Linked DNA regions of Arabidopsis thaliana. The protein of the gene in region 2 interacts with the protein of the main gene of each other region in a pairwise test. Each region holds a gene or a part of one and is shown on either strand. Other genes may lie near its edges.

The links.
Region 1: the proteins of NRPB6A (region 2) and MYB13 interact in binary tests that used the Arabidopsis thaliana proteins (3 or more experiments, as listed by UniProt).
Region 3: the proteins of NRPB6A (region 2) and HSL1 interact in binary tests that used the Arabidopsis thaliana proteins (3 or more experiments, as listed by UniProt).

Annotation. Positions count from the first base shown.
Region 1 is NC_003070.9:1,887,360-1,891,943, forward strand, and holds MYB13 (myb domain protein 13), read left to right. Parts: upstream 1-2,002; 5' UTR 2,003-2,150; coding exon 2,151-2,283; intron 2,284-2,437; coding exon 2,438-2,567; intron 2,568-3,252; coding exon 3,253-3,730; 3' UTR 3,731-3,917; downstream 3,918-4,584. UniProt on the Arabidopsis thaliana protein: Plays a regulatory role in meristem function. Functions as component of a regulatory network controlling the establishment and/or development of the shoot system by the regulation of apical meristem function. May play a role in tolerance to boric acid.
Region 2 is NC_003076.8:21,102,458-21,106,861, forward strand, and holds NRPB6A (RNA polymerase Rpb6), read left to right. Parts: upstream 1-2,093; 5' UTR 2,094-2,221; coding exon 2,222-2,259; intron 2,260-2,581; coding exon 2,582-2,615; intron 2,616-2,707; coding exon 2,708-2,880; intron 2,881-2,968; coding exon 2,969-3,020; intron 3,021-3,115; coding exon 3,116-3,183; intron 3,184-3,269; coding exon 3,270-3,339; 3' UTR 3,340-3,490; downstream 3,491-4,404. Other genes in the region: AT5G51930 (Glucose-methanol-choline (GMC) oxidoreductase family protein), read left to right, coding at 86-468, 551-1,111; AT5G51950 (Glucose-methanol-choline (GMC) oxidoreductase family protein), read right to left, coding at 3,636-3,699, 3,787-4,358.
Region 3 is NC_003075.7:15,477,017-15,485,496, reverse strand, and holds HSL1 (HSI2-like 1), read right to left. Parts: upstream 6,119-8,480; 5' UTR 5,685-6,118; intron 5,324-5,684; 5' UTR 5,263-5,323; intron 5,003-5,262; exon of another isoform or gene 4,856-5,002; 5' UTR 4,709-4,855; intron 4,516-4,708; 5' UTR 4,450-4,515; intron 4,373-4,449; 5' UTR 4,267-4,372; coding exon 4,148-4,266; intron 3,965-4,147; coding exon 3,883-3,964; intron 3,795-3,882; coding exon 3,693-3,794; intron 3,597-3,692; coding exon 3,070-3,596; intron 2,981-3,069; coding exon 2,884-2,980; intron 2,791-2,883; coding exon 2,616-2,790; intron 2,428-2,615; coding exon 2,351-2,427; intron 2,215-2,350; coding exon 1,897-2,214; intron 1,810-1,896; coding exon 1,760-1,809; intron 1,636-1,759; coding exon 1,522-1,635; intron 1,358-1,521; coding exon 1,290-1,357; intron 1,214-1,289; coding exon 600-1,213; 3' UTR 143-599; downstream 1-142. UniProt on the Arabidopsis thaliana protein: Transcriptional repressor of gene expression involved in embryonic pathways, such as LEC1, ABI3, and FUS3. Repressor of the sugar-inducible genes involved in the seed maturation program in seedlings.

The DNA.
Region 1 (4,584 bases), on a different chromosome or scaffold from region 2:
AGAAACGAGGGTTTTGGTTGGATCATGAAATTTTTGTTTGTGGCAAGACAGGCCGGTGGTTAGTTACAGTCTGTAAGTTCCATGACGTGTCTCTCTTCGCGTGGGTCCCGTCACGATTCTCTCAGGTTTTGCCGTTTTGGTATATGATCTTTAGGGGTATTTCTGTCTATTGATTATATTTTCTCGGTAATATTACGCTTGATTTGAATCCTTCGACTATAATAGAGATTTTCTTAATTTCACTTTCACGTTCAAAGATTTTTTCGCATTGTCTTTTGGAAAAATAGCAGAGTTTTTTAAAAAATAAATAAGAAACGATACATTCAAAAAATATTATGTGAAGTTGAGTTTTTTTTTACATATAGAGGAAATAAAATTGATCATAGTCATAGACATAGAAATTTGTCAGTGGAATCTTTTCTATTAGGTCAAACAAGATTCAACTTTTAACATTTTATCTAGGACTTCTGAATTCTGATATACAATGATCGATGATATTATAAATAAGATAAAAAGGCTTTATTTGTATTATTTCCTTGTAAAGTAAAGTATTTCTTAATTTCATGTTTGTTGGGTCATGCAAAATATGTTTCCAAGGCAAGGTAGCGGATTTTTTGTGAAGAATATTAGCTGGGTCCCACGTGACACAAAAGCTATGCGGAAAAGGGTGTTTCCGTAAACTCACTTGAAAATTTCTGCTAACCAGTTTTGTCCGGTTAAGTTCATGTTATGTATGTTACAATTTGGGAATTGGGATTCAGTTAAACCGGATCAGCCGAAGACATTATTATATTCGTTTTGTAACTTTTTGTTTAGAGGGTGTCGAGTTAGGTTATCGAGCTGAGCTGTATATAAAAACATCTCAAACAAAGGTGAGGAGGGGATGCATTTGCAAAATGGAATTAAGGGGTGTTTCGTAATCGTGACAGTTACGTTTTTGGTTTCTCTCCTATGAGGCTTATTTTGGGCCTCAACAAGAAGTAGGCGTTTTAACACGTTTCGTCATCTAGAGCCAGATGAGAGGGCCTAAACCCTACCTGTGGCTGGTTATTTATTGCTTTAACTTACCCGACAGATGCGACTCAATTTGAAATATCTCTTTTGGGCCTACTGATCTTATTGACGAGAGGATTCATCACCCTTTTCTTCGGCCACTTGGAAAGATTATATAGATTGTATGTTTTCTCTTTTCATTTTCTATCCTCGTGAAGTTTTTATTTTTATTTTTTTATTCAGATTACGAAAATCTTGAGAAAAAGAATAAGACCCGGTGAGCGAAAGGAATGTGTGGCGATGGCGATGCCTACACAGCCGTGAAGCCGAGTCATCGATTATAAAATGAGATGTGTCGATGATAACATTGCTAGTATAATTCTTGGTGTGGTCCATTATTTGATAAATTTATGGTATGCGTCCCTCATGGGAAGTGTGATAAGATTAAACCTAGTGTTCGATATAAAATTTCAAATTTTGTGTCTTAGCCATTCTATTGAATTTTAAACTACGGTCAGATTGAAGCTTACATATATTTGATGTAAAACATAAAAATATGTGGCTGTTACTCGTACACATTTATGGTTATATAAATGAATAGTCTCAATCACAGCCGTGCTCTGTAGTTGTCAGGTATTCGTGTGGTTTGAAGTATAACATTGTCAACTATTTGTATAAAGTTTCTCTATACTATTAGTTCCATGATCTAGTTATATATACAAGTCATATCAGTTTACACTAAACCACTCGACACTCATTGATAATCGCATACCGTTACTACAAAACTAAATTCACCTTCATTGCTTATTAAAATCAAATCATCACAATAGCTGATAGATCGTGGCCTTAGCATTTCCTCGGTAAGACTTATGAAAAAATTAAGATAACTATTCTTTGAAAAAGGTAAAGGAAAAGAAGTTGGGAAAACTTTGGCCTTTGTGTACCAAAAGTAGAAAAATAATTTCCAGCTTGTCATTTTCCTACGGTCCCAATTAATTATATCTCTCTCTATAAATATAGTAACACACTTAGCCATCGTACACTTACTAGTTACTTCCAACATTTGGCTTCCTTTGCTTTCACGAATAGAAACCTTAGCTTCTTCCATTTCTTCTTTCTCTCCTCGTTTAAATTAGTTTTTGACAAGGAAGAAAAAGATGGGGAGAAGACCATGCTGTGAGAAGATAGGATTGAAGAAAGGGCCATGGAGTGCTGAAGAAGATCGAATCTTGATCAATTATATTAGTCTCCATGGCCATCCCAATTGGAGAGCTCTCCCTAAACTAGCCGGTAAATAAGCCATTTTATATTTGCTATTTGCCATATGTATATATTAGTAACAAAATAATTTTGTACCTAGCTAGCATGTGTATTATTGTTCTATAGTATATAGTAGTGTATATTTGTTGTGTAAAGTTAATAATGGTGTTTGTGAAATGATTAGGGCTACTTCGGTGCGGAAAAAGTTGCAGGCTTCGTTGGATTAATTATTTGAGACCAGACATCAAACGTGGCAATTTCACTCCTCATGAAGAAGATACTATCATCAGCTTACATCAACTCTTAGGCAACAGGTTTCTCCTCCTTTTCCATTTTCTGTTTTTTTACTTCTTCCTTTGATTATATGCGAAATTTTAGATTTTTTGGTCCTATATTCTTTGAAACCAGAAATTAAACAAGAATTTGAGAAATCACTCACAAATTTTTCTTTATTTTTAATCTTTGAGAAGTCAAATCACAAGTTTTTTTCTTTCTTTTAAAGTAAGTCAATGCAATTTCTGTTTAGTCCATAACTCCATATATATTACAGTGAAAATGATATAATGTTCATTTGTAGATGAAGGATTTTGGGACATCAAATTGTGAAAAGTATCATTATTTTGGAAGTTTAGTTTGTTTTAACTGTGGAGACTAGCTAGCTAGATTACTTCACAATTTTCTCTTTGTATATGTGTTGCTTTTGTCAATATGCGAAATTTTATATCTTTGTGGGGCAGAGAACTGAGAAGATTCCAACCCGTGATTGCCTTTGTCCATTAAATAATTTCAATTTTTTACTTTCCTCTAATTATACTTTTTATTCACTAGTAGACAAAGATAGGCACTGTGATCAGTGTAAGACATGTGCAAATTCTTTTAACCATACGCATGAACTTCAATAACTTTCCTTTTGTTTTACTCGCTCTTTGTTCTCATAACAATGTAGACGACGTATTATGATGATTGATGAGTCATTCATGTGACATTTGTTTTGAGTAGATGGTCTGCGATAGCTGCAAAATTGCCTGGACGAACAGACAACGAAATTAAAAATGTTTGGCACACTCATTTAAAGAAAAGACTCCACCACAGTCAAGATCAAAACAACAAGGAAGATTTCGTCTCTACTACAGCTGCGGAGATGCCAACCTCTCCGCAACAACAATCTAGTAGTAGTGCCGACATTTCAGCAATTACAACATTGGGAAACAACAATGACATCTCCAATAGCAACAAAGACTCCGCGACGTCATCCGAAGATGTTCTTGCAATTATAGATGAGAGCTTTTGGTCAGAAGTGGTATTGATGGACTGTGACATTTCAGGAAATGAGAAGAATGAGAAAAAGATAGAGAATTGGGAGGGCTCACTAGATAGAAACGATAAGGGATATAACCATGACATGGAGTTTTGGTTTGACCATCTCACTAGTAGTAGTTGTATAATTGGAGAAATGTCCGACATTTCTGAGTTTTGATTTGTTTTAGTTAAAGACTTATATATCTTCCTTTGTGACCCACATGAATAAAAGTCGTTTACGTTTCCTATATTAGTCCTCTTTCTATTTATCGTTCTATTACTTTTGGTTAGTTAAAATACAGATCAGGACATATGCTAAATGTTCGTATCATGTTATACATACATATATTATGATTTCTTTTTTCTCTCCCTTTTAATGTAATTTTAAATCTATGGTGATGTCTTGTACTGTAACTTGTTTAGTGGATGGCTAGATTAAAGAAAGTCTATGTTGTTGTTCTAATGGTAGTCGCATATTCCCTTTTTTTCTATGCACAATGAATTTACTATATAAATCACATTTAAAACTCTTATAATTCACTAACAGAACAGTAATGGCTAACCGACAAAAAATATAGTATTTAAGTAGCCATGTGATTATGCTATGGTTTTTCGCACAAAAAAAAGTGATTATGCTATGGTTTTCCGGTCCTAATAGATTTGGAGTTCTCAAACTAATGTATTAATGTGATCCTCAATTGCTCCATGCATGGAAGCAATTGTGGTTTCTAAGCCCAAAATTTAAAAAGAAGAGAAGATGTGAATGCTCGTCAGAAATTGGTTTTGTTTGGCCGTAGCAATTTCTTGTAGTGCGCGATCTTGATTTTACAGATACTGGTTCTTAGCTAATAAATTTAAACCGATATATCTTAAAAAAAAAAAAACCATTACCTAAGAAGCACCATTGGTATTATCGATGATCCAGCGATGAATCCAATATAAGTTATAATAAATTCATCACCATCAACTAAACTAAACTAAACTAAACTAAACTAAGCCAAATAATGGTCCTCAACCAATGAGAAGCACAAA
Region 2 (4,404 bases):
TTTACTTTATGAATGATTGTTTGCTAAAACTACTTGCTGCAAAAATGAACATTAAAAAAAAAAACAGGTAACTAGAAGCCAAAAGCGTATGAAGTGCTATTTGAGGATGCAAATGGAGTGTTCCACAAGGCAAATCTAGCAAATAAGGCAACGAACGAAGTGATCTTGTCAGCTGGAGCCCTGGGTAGCCCACAACTATTAATGTTGAGTGGAGTAGGTCCTGCCGTCCATCTTGAGGCTCACGGCGTGAACCCACTCGTCCTAGATCAGCCCATGGTTGGGCAGGGGATGGCTGATAATCCCATGAACTTTGTAGCCATTCCTTCTCCTCAACCAGTAGAACTATCCCTCATACAAGCTGTTGGGATCACAAAGTTTGATAGTTACATTGAAGGTCTAAGTGGCTTGAGTCTCTCTTTTGATATAACTCGTAGGTTTTTCGATGGTGTTTTGAATCTTTTAAACGAGGTATATAACATAAATACATTTAAAGGTTATTTAGTTATGACTTATGAGATTGTATGTTGTCTAACTATGACGCATTATGCAGACAAGTCATACTACATCTAGGAAAATCCTGACCCAATCCATTGCAGTCCTTTTAAAATCTTTTGATGTTAAATTGGAAGTGAGGATGAATGGGGGTTTGATCTTTCAAAAAGTCGATGGACCGGCCTCAAAAGGACATATGAAGCTACGGAACACGAACCCAAGGGATAATCCTTCAGTGACATTCAACTACTATCAAGAACCAGAGGATTTGAACAAGTGTGTTAAAGGGCTTAACACCATTATTAGAATGATAAATTCCAAAGCTTTCTCCAAGTACAAGTATCCGGGTGTGACGGCACGTGAACTGCTCAATCTCATGTTGGCCCTTCCCATCAATTTGAGGCCAAGGCACGTGACCTCAGCGTTCAACTTGAAGCAGTTTTGCATCGACACCGTGACGAGTGTTTGGCATTACCATGGAGGTTGCCAAGTTGGAAAAGTGGTTGACAAGAATTACAAAGTCTTAGGCATAGATGGCTTAAGGGTCATCGATGGATCCACATTTCTCAAGTCTCCCGGGACTAATCCTCAAGCCACGGTCATGATGCTTGGAAGGTAAGCACAAAAACTAAATAATCACAACATCAATAAATAAGATATGATGTTTGAATAAAAATCATTGTGAAAGTGCTATGTGTAGGTACATGGGGCAGGAAATTATTCGGCAAAGAGCGGCTTTCCACGAAAAGTAACAAAAAGCCTAAGGTTCTTAATAGAGAGTAGACAAAAGTTTTCTCATCTATTATTACTTGTTGTGTTATTGTCTTCTAACATTTTCACACAAATGAAGAAAAGTAAACAAATTTTATTTCTACCCGTTACTAATACACTAGATAATACTTTCTCTTTCTAAATGATAAAGTGAAATAATAGAGATAAAAAAAAAAAAAAGAGATTTGGTTTTAAATATTCCATTGAAAACACAAAAATGACAATTTTTGTGAAACAAAATTAAAACCTTAAAATGACACGCGTCCTCGAAGTCCAACTTGACGCAGTTTTGCATCCACATTGTGATGACTATATGGCATTACCATGGAGGTTGTCAAGTTGGTCGACAAGAATTACAAAGTTTTAGGTATTGATGCCTTAATGGCCATTGATATGGATCCACATTTCTCAAGTCTCCGGAGACTAATCATCGAGCCACGGTCATGATGCTCGGAAGGTAAAACGCTCATACTTAATGATCATATGATTCTTCGAGTTGTGATTGTCTTGTTGAGACTTGAGTGTTATGTGTAGGTGTACATGGGGCAAAGGATTCTTCGAGAGAGAGAGTTGCTTTTCGAGAAGTATTTTCTATGATTATTCGATCGTTTCTCCAACTAAAGATGAGACCAGACAAGTATATGAATATGTGATCATCGTCCAAAGAAAAGAAAATTCTAACATAATCAGTATATATCACATGTTCCATGATTATTTGGAATAAAGAAGGAAATTTGATTCAGTTGTGGAGTTATTCTTATGTGGGCCTAAATTGGGCTTGAAATTAAATGGTCCGATTATAAAGTTTACTAAGCATAGTTAAATAAACTGGATCATTTAAATTTTATTCAGTTCTTAACTTCATTGATTCATTCTGCGTCGTTCGGAACTCTGCAACGAGAGTTAGGGTTTATACAGAGCAAAGAGAAGGAGAAAGCGAAACCAAAAATCGACATTAATGGCTGACGAAGATTACAACGACGTCGATGACTTGGGGTTATTCTCTCTTCCTCTCTCTCGGTTTCATATCTATTCATTATTCGTGCTCGGATTTCAAAAGATTCTATCTTCTTCTCGACGAATTCGTAATCGATTTAGAGTAAATTGGATTAGTTAATGTCTAAATTAGCAGTTTTTATAGATGGGTTTCTTCGATGAAACGTTGCTTCGATTTTGTTCGGTATAGTACTGATTCTAATCGATTTTAAGGTAGAAAGTAGAAACCCTAATTTCATTGAGAAAAAGCTATTTTTTAAAACTCTATGAGCTTTTCTAGTGAAACTTGTGAGTAAATTGAAGAAAATTTGGGCTATTGCAGATATGAGGATGAGCCAGCAGAGCCTGAGATTGAAGTAAGTTCAATATTTTTTCTTTGTATAAGAGACATGGTTATTGCTTATTATACAACTTTCGGTTTCTGATTGGTTTTTTTTTTCTTGTGTAGGAAGGAGTAGAGGAAGATGTTGAAATGAAGGAGAATGATGATGTCAATGGTGAGCCTATTGAAGCTGAAGATAAAGTCGAAACAGAACCTGTGCAACGTCCACGCAAAACGTCAAAGTTTATGACCAAGTATGAGCGTGCTCGTATCCTCGGCACTCGCGCTTTGCAGATTAGGTATGGTTCTTGCTACTGAGAACAATCTTTTTAATGTTAAATTGGCTTGAAAAGTTTGAGTCTTAATGTTGTTTTTTGGCTGATACAGCATGAATGCTCCTGTCATGGTTGAGCTAGAGGGTGAGACTGATCCACTTGAGGTGTGCTTACCTACCTTCTTGTTGTTGGTTTTTGAAGTTATGTCTCAGTAAACTTATATGAACATTTGAGCTAATTTATTATGATTTGGATTCAGATTGCGATGAAGGAGCTTAGGCAGCGGAAGATACCATTCACTATTAGACGCTATCTACCTGATGGGAGGTGAGAGATTGCATTGAGCTTATATTATTCTCTTCACTCACTTGATCTCTTCTTTTCTTGTGACTTACTTATGATTCCTGAAACAGTTTCGAGGAATGGGGAGTTGATGAACTGATCGTGGAAGACTCATGGAAACGTCAAGTTGGTGGTGATTGATAATCTGACCAGAGACAAATCGACAAATACGTATGTAACTTGCAAGCTTTCCTCTCTTATGGATGATAAATTTTCTGATGTTGTAATGGAACTAAAAATCAGTGAAACTTATGGATAATACTAGACTCATATTCCGAAATTCTGCAAAACTAGAAGCCCCAAGTACCATAATTCCACCATTATTATACATATTAGAAACAGAACATGAACAGATGTACACATTCATACTCTTTAAGTTAATCATACATTGATTAAAACAATTCCAAGATCAAGATTTTCTCAAAACAAGTAATATCTCACGCTTCTTTATCCGGTTTGTTGTATATCTCCCTCTCTTGAAGAATCCTTTGGCCCATATACCTACACAAAACACTCTGACACAATCAGTTCTTAATCAAATCATTAACATGTTTTAGATTATTTGGATCATTTGGTTTATGCATTTACCTTCCGAGCATCATAACAGTAGCTTGAGGATTAGTCCCCGGAGACTTGAGAAATGTGGATCCATCGATGACCCTTAAGGAATCAATGCCTAAGACTCTGTAATTCTTGTCAACCACTCTTCCAACTTGGCAACCTCCATGGTAGTGCCAAATTGTCATCACAGTGTCAATGCAAAACTGCCTTAAATTGAACATCGAGGTTATATGCCGCGGCCTCAGATTGGTAGGAACGCTTAGCATTAGATCGAGTAGTCCATGTATGGTCGCGTCCGGGTACTTGAATTTGGAGAATGCCTTGGAGTTGATCACTTTAATAATGGTGTTGATCCCTTCAACACATATCTGTAGATCCTCTGGCTCTTGATAATAGTTGAACCTTACTGAAGGATTATCATCCGGGTTTGTGTTCCTAAGCTCTAAATGACCTCTCGAGATCGGTCCCGCGATTTTCTGGAGGATCAAACCGGCTCTCGTGGTAGCATTCAATAGAGGATTGATGGGATTGAAAAAATCTGTGATGGATTGGGTCGACAGTGTTGGAGATGTAGTACTAGTAGTACGGCTTGTCTGCATCTTACACAATGAAAGAAACCAAACTTTTACCATACAGTTTCATCAA
Region 3 (8,480 bases), on a different chromosome or scaffold from region 2:
GTGATAAGTGATAACTCTTATTATTACACTGACACGATCAACACTTCTAACATCGACCGAGCTATAGCCGATTTATTTGCTTCCATGTAACTGATTGTGTGTCTTCATACCATAAGTTTATCACCAAATCAAAATAATAGGATCTCGCGTAACCAATTTCTCTAATTTAAGTAAATCATAAATTTCATAAACAAACTTGAAAATAATAAAAATTATGTACAGGTTCGAATTTTGAAACTTAAGATTGCGATAGATAGGCGTACAAATTTGAAGCTCCACCTCCAGAACCGATTCTCTTCTTAGAAGCTTCATCCATTTCCATATTAGATATAACTATTAAGTTAGTGTCCTATGTATTTTCAAAAACCTCATCAAATCTATTTGTCTCTCTCTCTCAAGCCTCAACTCACCACACACCAAACCAAAACACCAGAAACAAAAAGAAAAGCAAACTACAAATTCCTCATTTCTTCGATCGACAATTGGTAGAATGGTCGTAACCACTCAACCAATTTGAGACGAAACCGAAGACATTTTTTGTGTAAATAAGAAACACATACCACTGAAGAATAAATACTCATGGAGAATTCCAAAGCTGTTTAGTTCACAGGATCATGAGCTCCATTTGTTGTGTCTTTCTCAGTTTCTTGTGCGGCTGAGGACGAACCGTGTTCTGTGCTGACCATATCACTGCTTTGCTGTTCTCCTGCTGTATTGGAAATAGCCTTTTGTTTCAGATATGCTTCCAGAGGAAACGCTGCAGCTTGGAGAAGCCTCATCATGCTTACTCGGGAAGCCCCCGGGTCTGAGTTCAAGTCGATGTTTTCCCCTGCGGCTAGTTCAACCGCTGGAATGCTCTCCACTTCTGTCTCGTCCCTGCACTCTGACTGTGACTGCGCCTGCTGGCTTGCCTGTCCTGCCTCTCCTTTGTTCCGCTTCCGCAGCATGAGCGTCCTGAATCGTCTCTTCACTGCCTCGCACACAGTGCAAGTGCATGACGGCTTGTGTTTGCCTTTTCCGCTCGGTGGTTGGCTGCAGACGATGCACGAACACCCTGCCCGGTGTCTTGGATGCTTGGTCGTGGCTGCAACCGTGATTTCCCCCTGTTCACCGGTTGTGGTGATGCCTGCATTTCCTAAACTATTCAGAGCAGATGCATCCTGCGACTGGTTTAGCTTTTCGTTTGATGATGCCAGTCTCCTCCTTTTGAACTCTGTTGAGACGAAAGTTTCGTTATGTAAAGAAGGAAGTTTCTAATTATACAGACCAATAATAGCTGCGGATTTTACCTTTGCTCTGCCGGACAAGTGTATCCTGTTCTCTTGGAGAGAGTTCATCAGGTGCGGAACATGAAGACCTGACGATATAAACAGCAACTCAAATTATTCAGATGGCCAGTCTCAGTGAGTCAAAAATCTATAATTATCCCATATGTGTAGTCTAAGTTATTTCGGAAAAAAATGCGCAATGTTCTGTGGTAACTAGCCTAGGTTAAACACATGAACATGCAACCTCGTTTACCTGCCAGGATCCAAGAGATTATCAGAGCACGACCACTTTGGTGGAAGAAGAATATCCACCGGCAGCTGTCGCCATTTCCCACAAGCATCACACTGCACCCATTGCTCTTGTTCCCTGAGAATTCATGGATCACATATCAGAACCAAATAATCAGATGTTCATTACTTCAAATCTTTCGATCATTCCAAGGGTGCTTAATTCTTCTGATCCTATCATTACATAGTACATGAGGCCTCACCCTGTTTGACGTGAGACAAAAAGGGTCCTCTTCCCGAAAACTGGTGGTTCCTGGGTAGCAGCAAATACATGATTTCAGAAAATACAGTGAAAAGTTCCCAGCTGTTTTTGATAACTAAACAGTTAACAGTAACTCACGTCATATTCTTCAAAATCTTGATTTTCCAGCGTAAAGATGCTGGGTTTGGTGGATTGGGGAGGCCGCAACAGCTCCTGTGCCTCCTCCCAAGTTATTTTCAGTTCCAGAACATCTACGCTATCAATGAGCAGACGCTTGCTCTTAGTCCCAATGTTCCGAACCCGTTTCCTAGCAGAAGTTAAGGACGACTGAAGAAATAAGTTATCCTTTGCCATGTCCTCAGACTTCTCTAGTTTAGACCAATTGATGTCACCACATCCCGGATTCAAGCTGTTGGAAAACATGTTCAGATTGGGTTCACTGCTTCCCTTGAACATCTGAAGAAACACGGAAAAATATTTCACTGAAAGAATCAGTACGAGAGCACCAGAAAAGGATTCTTTAATTCAATACACTTCACAGTGGCAGTTACTTATGCCTAAGGGGGCAACTCTCAGCTTATTATGCATTTACCTGTGTCGCTGTAGAGTTCGTCGCTTTACGGTATCCCATTACGAGTTTTCCTTCAGGTTCTGTACGGCTGAATGTTACTGCAGAGAACATGGAAAATCCAAGACATCAGACCTAATAGAAAAGTACGGTCATCTCTTCGTGGAATGTATTTCACTGTCCTCATGATTGGAACGCTTTAGTGCCAATGTTTCATTTATCCATACCAGGGTGGGTTTATCAATATGTTATGAATGTAGTTAACGAAACAAAAGGATTTGAAAAGTACCAGTGTCACCAGCTTGCAACTGCATGGACTGTATGCAAGGAGTCACACCCTCCAAAACGTACATCCTGCTGTTATTATTAGGCCAAAACCTGAACTGGAACACCCATTCTTTCCCTTTTATGTCTTGTATCTTTAACGGGAGACCCTCGGGTAGAGATATAGGGGGGAAATATGCCTACATAGAAGCATAGACGGTTATAGCTGATACCTGGCATTTAGATAGCAATAGTTTGGGAATATCAAATAAGCGTACAGAGAAACAAGTTACCTCTGCACATGCTTTCGGAAGAACCAGTCGACCAATACGACCCGCATCGCTCGCACTCAGAACTTTTTCAAAGAGTGGTATAATTTTGGAATTTGAGCTAGGAAAATAAACAGTCAAGGACTCCTTAGCACAGAAAAATAGTGCATAATGGTAGAATAAAAGCAGAAACACGATATTATAACATACAGATGAGGATACTGTCCAGATAATTGCAGCAGCTCTTGGTCAGTAATCCTAGGCCAGTAACGGGGAAGCAATTGGGTCTTCCCGCGACCTTCTGGAGGAGGCCGAGCGACATGAATCTGTGACACCAGGCTCCCACTAGGCTCCATGCCAGCAGCAATGGGAGCTGAATTTGCAGGTTTTGGAAGCAGCTGCCTGGACCGAGGGGCCAGTTGGAAAATCGAATTAGTCTTACTTCTGTCATCAACAGCAGCATCATGAAATGGGCTTGTCATAAGCGTAGGTCCAAGTGAAATGCTCAAGTTTGGCTGTGCAGACAATTCTTTCCTTTCAGTTTTGTGTCTAAGAGCATCTAGGCTGGAAGGAAGCAGCGATTCTTCTTGTTTCATTTGAAGAGAAGAATGAGTGGGGTCGATTCTTTGAAAGTGAAGCAAGTGCTTGAGATTTGTCCTCTCAAGAACACTGCCTACATGCTCTGCTGAAGCAAATGAGGGGAAGTCCTTACCGTTAGATTCATGGCTCACATTCATCTGTAAGAGAGATTACATGAGTATAGTGACAGAGAAACCAAGACCAAGGAAGCATCCCTTGCAAGAAGTTAACTCATGGAGAGGAAATTGTCTTACAGAAATTAGTCCGGATTTCTTGGCGCAACTTATACAGGTAACACCACCATTCTCTAGAAGCTCCATCATAAATCTAGAAGCAATGCATCCACAGTGAAGACGCTGAAAAAAACGTAAATACGTATTAAGGAAAACAATTGAAATACGTTGAGTGCAAAAACATGTGTAGTAAGCCATGGATTTTCGTCACCTTGTCACATGAATTACACTCTCTCCAACCAGATTCCTTGGCATGGAACACTTCACAGAATATGGATTGCTCGTATGCACACCTATCAAAAACCAACATTCACAGAGTTTACTAATAAGTAATCATGAAATATAGATTCCCTTCACGTACCCACTCTTGTTCTAATTGTAAGCAAACCCACAGCACTAATCTATCGCAGAAGTGTTGCGAATATCGAACTGGTCGCAAAAGTATTCAAATTAGACACAAGAGTGAAGGCCCTTACCCACACTTATCGCAGAGAGAAGCTAAATCACCGGATCGCATAGGCCAGCCTTTTTTCCACTCGCCCGACGTAGAGGCCGCTCCGCACAGTGCGTTCATGCAAACCTTTATTGACTCCATAATTGACCAATTGAGCGGCTCGATTCAACTGTCAATAACTTCAAATGAAGCAAGAGCCTTATCGTATTCTCCGCACGATGGTGCTTTAATCCACCGCAACTTTCCTCTTTAATAAAGGCACAAGCATTAAAAATATGCAATGATTAAGAAAACTAATTGGTATCAGAAAAGTTAAACACTTACCAGAAAAGGCAGAAGAAGATGTCAAATATATTGTCGAGAAACTCAATACGCTCCTTCTGTGAAAGACTATATACAAATAAAAACATATAAGATGACGATATATAGAAGAAGATACCAACTGTTATAAAGTAATCAAAATCCGTAAATGAATGAATAGTTAAGGACATTTGATATTGACATCTAAAGATAAGATATCATTGCATCCTAAGGAAAAAAAAACGAAATTAAAGTTCACAAGAGACAAAGAAAATCAACAGACCTTTCGAAGAAACTTGTCCAAAAAAGAGAAACCACGAGTCACTTCCATCTCCTCAGTTTTCAACCAAACCAATTCTAAGCTTAGACATGTCCACACGAAACTTCTCAGTGGTGCAGTGGAGATGGAGCCTCTTAAATAATTGTGCCACTGTGATAAAAACGCACCATCGAAAAGTTGACTGATGAATGTATGGAAGTCCAAGAAGTCTACAATAGTGATAATGAGAATAATATCTTGACTGTGAAAAAGGATGAATTGATTCTGTAGACAAAACTAAGTGCAAACCTTAAATAGTCAAATTATTCAATTGAACGGAAATGATCCATCACCTATCTGAGCTACAGTAGGCTAACAACGATTCCACTACCTAGGCACAATTTCAAGGAAGATATAATTCTTATTAAACCGCTAAATAATCCAAAAACTTGCGAGTCAGCAAGATCTAATCTGAGGATACACATAACTTTTAATGCTATTGAAAGAAGAATATAGACTTGAAGAAAAAAATGTAATAAGCAGCTACATTAAGTAAACAAGTAAACTAAATGTAATACCTTAACAGAGATGACAGAAATGTATGCAGGTTTGTCTCCAGTAACAGGAGAAGATATTTGGCTGCAATTGGAAAATACAAAAATTAGGTGAATAACATGACATATTTGGCTGCAATTGGAAATTCATAAAGAACCAAGGACGACACTTTCTTAAGAAGCAATAAAATGATATATAAATCGAACTAGTTTCATTCTTCTTCAAATCTTTCAACTTTGGTTGACCCAAAAAACCACTGATTTCCAAGTAAAGCTTATAACTTTGTAAAAACACTGATGTAAAGGTTCAATTTTTACAATCCTAATTCCGAAATCTACGGTCTTTGAACAAAAAAAAACATGCATAAATCACCAAGTTTCTGAACACTAATGGCCGAGCAAGTAAATTTATCAGAGCATAATCACCGGAGAGGGTTAACCCTTACCTTGGTTTGTGTGGAGAGAGAGCCGATTGATTCGATCGGAAGAGAAGGGATAGTTTTCGACGGAGAAGTGAAGTTAAAAACCAAGTCAAAGTCGTCTTTACGTCGACCAAGTGAAGAAGATTTGAGCCAATTCAATTGCAGCAACAAGAGGTAGTGGCAAAGAGATTTAGAAATAACGAAGGAGTTGATGAATTGGTTTCTAAATAAAGAAGAAGAAGCCACAATGACTTAGAGCGAAAATCTCCATTACCAACAACAACAAAGGGCTCGTGGAGAAGACAACAAATCTGGAGCGTTAGATTACAAAAAAAAAAAAAATGAAACACAAAGAAACTGCTGACGTCAGCCTGACCTAAAACCCAGTATGCTTTATTTATTTATTATGGATGAGAGAATAATGTAAAGTTTACTCAAAGTGTGACATTTTATGTAATAAGATATTAATTAAAGTGCACGCAAAAGGTCATCTCTGTTTCGACCTCACCTAAGGTTTGCTTCTAGATTTATATACGTCTAAATTAGTATTTTGATTTCGATAATAATATTATTTAGTAAAGCATTGAATTTGAGAATGATGAAGTGGCTTGGTTTCTAGGGTTATAAGACAGGAACCCACGACGACCATCACCAACACATCAGCAGATCAGCTACTAGGTCCAACTCCAACTCTTTATTTTTGTTGGTTCAACAATTTACTGCAAAAGACTTAAAAAAATGTAGCCCAAATAATCATGTCAGGATAATGGACCGAAGATTGGTTGATGGGCCGTTTTAGATCAAAAAAATCATTCCACCTTTGGAAAAGATCTCTTTAGCATATTACTTTAAGGTTTGTTGCAAATGAAAAATAGTTGGAAAATATTTTAGACCCTTAAAAGTCTTATCCGATAGGTAAAGTATTTAAATCAGTTCATGGGTTGAGTTTCATAATTGAAACTAGGCATAGATTGGCCCTTTCCTTTCTCTTTAATAAATACTCGATTCATCCCTTTCTACTGTCTGTCTCAATATCTGTACATACCATTCATTGTAGCAATCACTATACGTACATGTTAATGTCTATGAAGTATGAACAATAATAAGAATTGGGTAAGAGAGTTATATATGTTGTTGATAAACAACAGTGAATTCAAAACTATATAATTTAGAGAGGGTTTGTATATCCCTTTTTTTCCTCTGTATGAGTAATGTGAGAACCAATTATTCGTTTATAGATGAATAATAAATTATCTTTCTGTTTATCGTACCGAGTTACCTACCATATTGCTTAGACTGGAAATGCTTTGTTGGTAAAAAGACATGATTGGTTGAAAAATAGATAAAAGCATGAATGGGATTCAAAAACTAACGATAATTAGGAAACTGGATTACCATGGTTGGTAGGCTAAACCCTAGCTATTCTAATCGCTATTACATTCTCACCTACTTTGCATAGTCATTAAATTTGCATATCCACGAATTCGTACTAATAGTTTCGCAGAAAATACACATGCAATCTTATGAATATTGCTTGATTTATTTAAGAAACAAACTTGTATGCAATTATTGGTATATAAATCAGTTATAACCGAGCCATTTGTCAATATGACTTTGACACATGGGTAAGTCTAAACAACTAATTCATACTCTAGTTATCAATTGTCTCTTGTAAATAATTTAGTACGTATTTTTTTAGTTAGTCTTATAGATGAGTAAATCACCCTTTTTAAAATTATTAGATTTTCGGTTAAATGTTTTGGATTCTAAACTCAAAATTAATTAGCAATATGTGATGAAAACCCTTGTAGTTATGTAATTGCATGAAACAAAAATGATTTCAAATGTTATTCATATGTACTAGATCTTCAAACATTAACACATGAACTAACATTTTGGAATTACATCGATATTCATTTAATTGGATCCAAAAGGTTTCAACTTCTCGTTCTGTTATTAGTTTTTGTTTCCTCTTTTTTGTTTTCTATTTATTTTCACATGTTCTAGCTTCTTAATTCTAAGCTAACTTGAGTAGCCTAATAAACTTGTGTCACATGATGAGGACATTTCTCAAATGGAACATTCAGACATTTACACTCCCATACGTTGATATCATGTTATTTGCTATATTAGTCTAATATTGTTGCCTTTCAGATTTCACATATGAAATATTCCTTGTTGTAACCAAGAACCATCTCTGTGTATTTTTACAAGCATAAAATAGTAGTTGACAATATAAAAATAACTATCTGATGATGCAACTCTAGTTAATATATCACGAATCACTGACTCCTATATAATGTGTAGATATACTGTATATGTATCGACACCAATTTTACATACATTACCGAAGTATTGATTGGTTCTTTCATTTGATAAAAGAGAGCATATAATTTCACTTTAATCACACTCATTATACATTTGCGAAAGTCTTTCATTCACAACCGTCGTTGCGTTTAGTTTGCTAATACTTTATGTTAGTGCCCGTTGAGTTTCTAAAAGTGTAGAAGTTTTTGTTGTTTATTTATATAGACTCTAGTTGCAAATGCTGCATAGAATTAGTTAGATCCATTCTCGTGAATCCTTAAGAGGATTATATGCTAGAATAAAAATATACTACTAAGAAGATATTTTATTGATAACATAATTGACCAAAGAGAAAAAACAAAACGGAAAGTCTTCTTATTTCTGTCGGTTTGACACAACTGGTCAACTTTTGCTGTCAGTAAAGTAAACTCTTCAAGTTACAAAGGCATATTTTAACTTGACCACTCTAAATTTTATTCTTCAGAAGTTTTAGTAGTGGCCCAAGTTACAAAT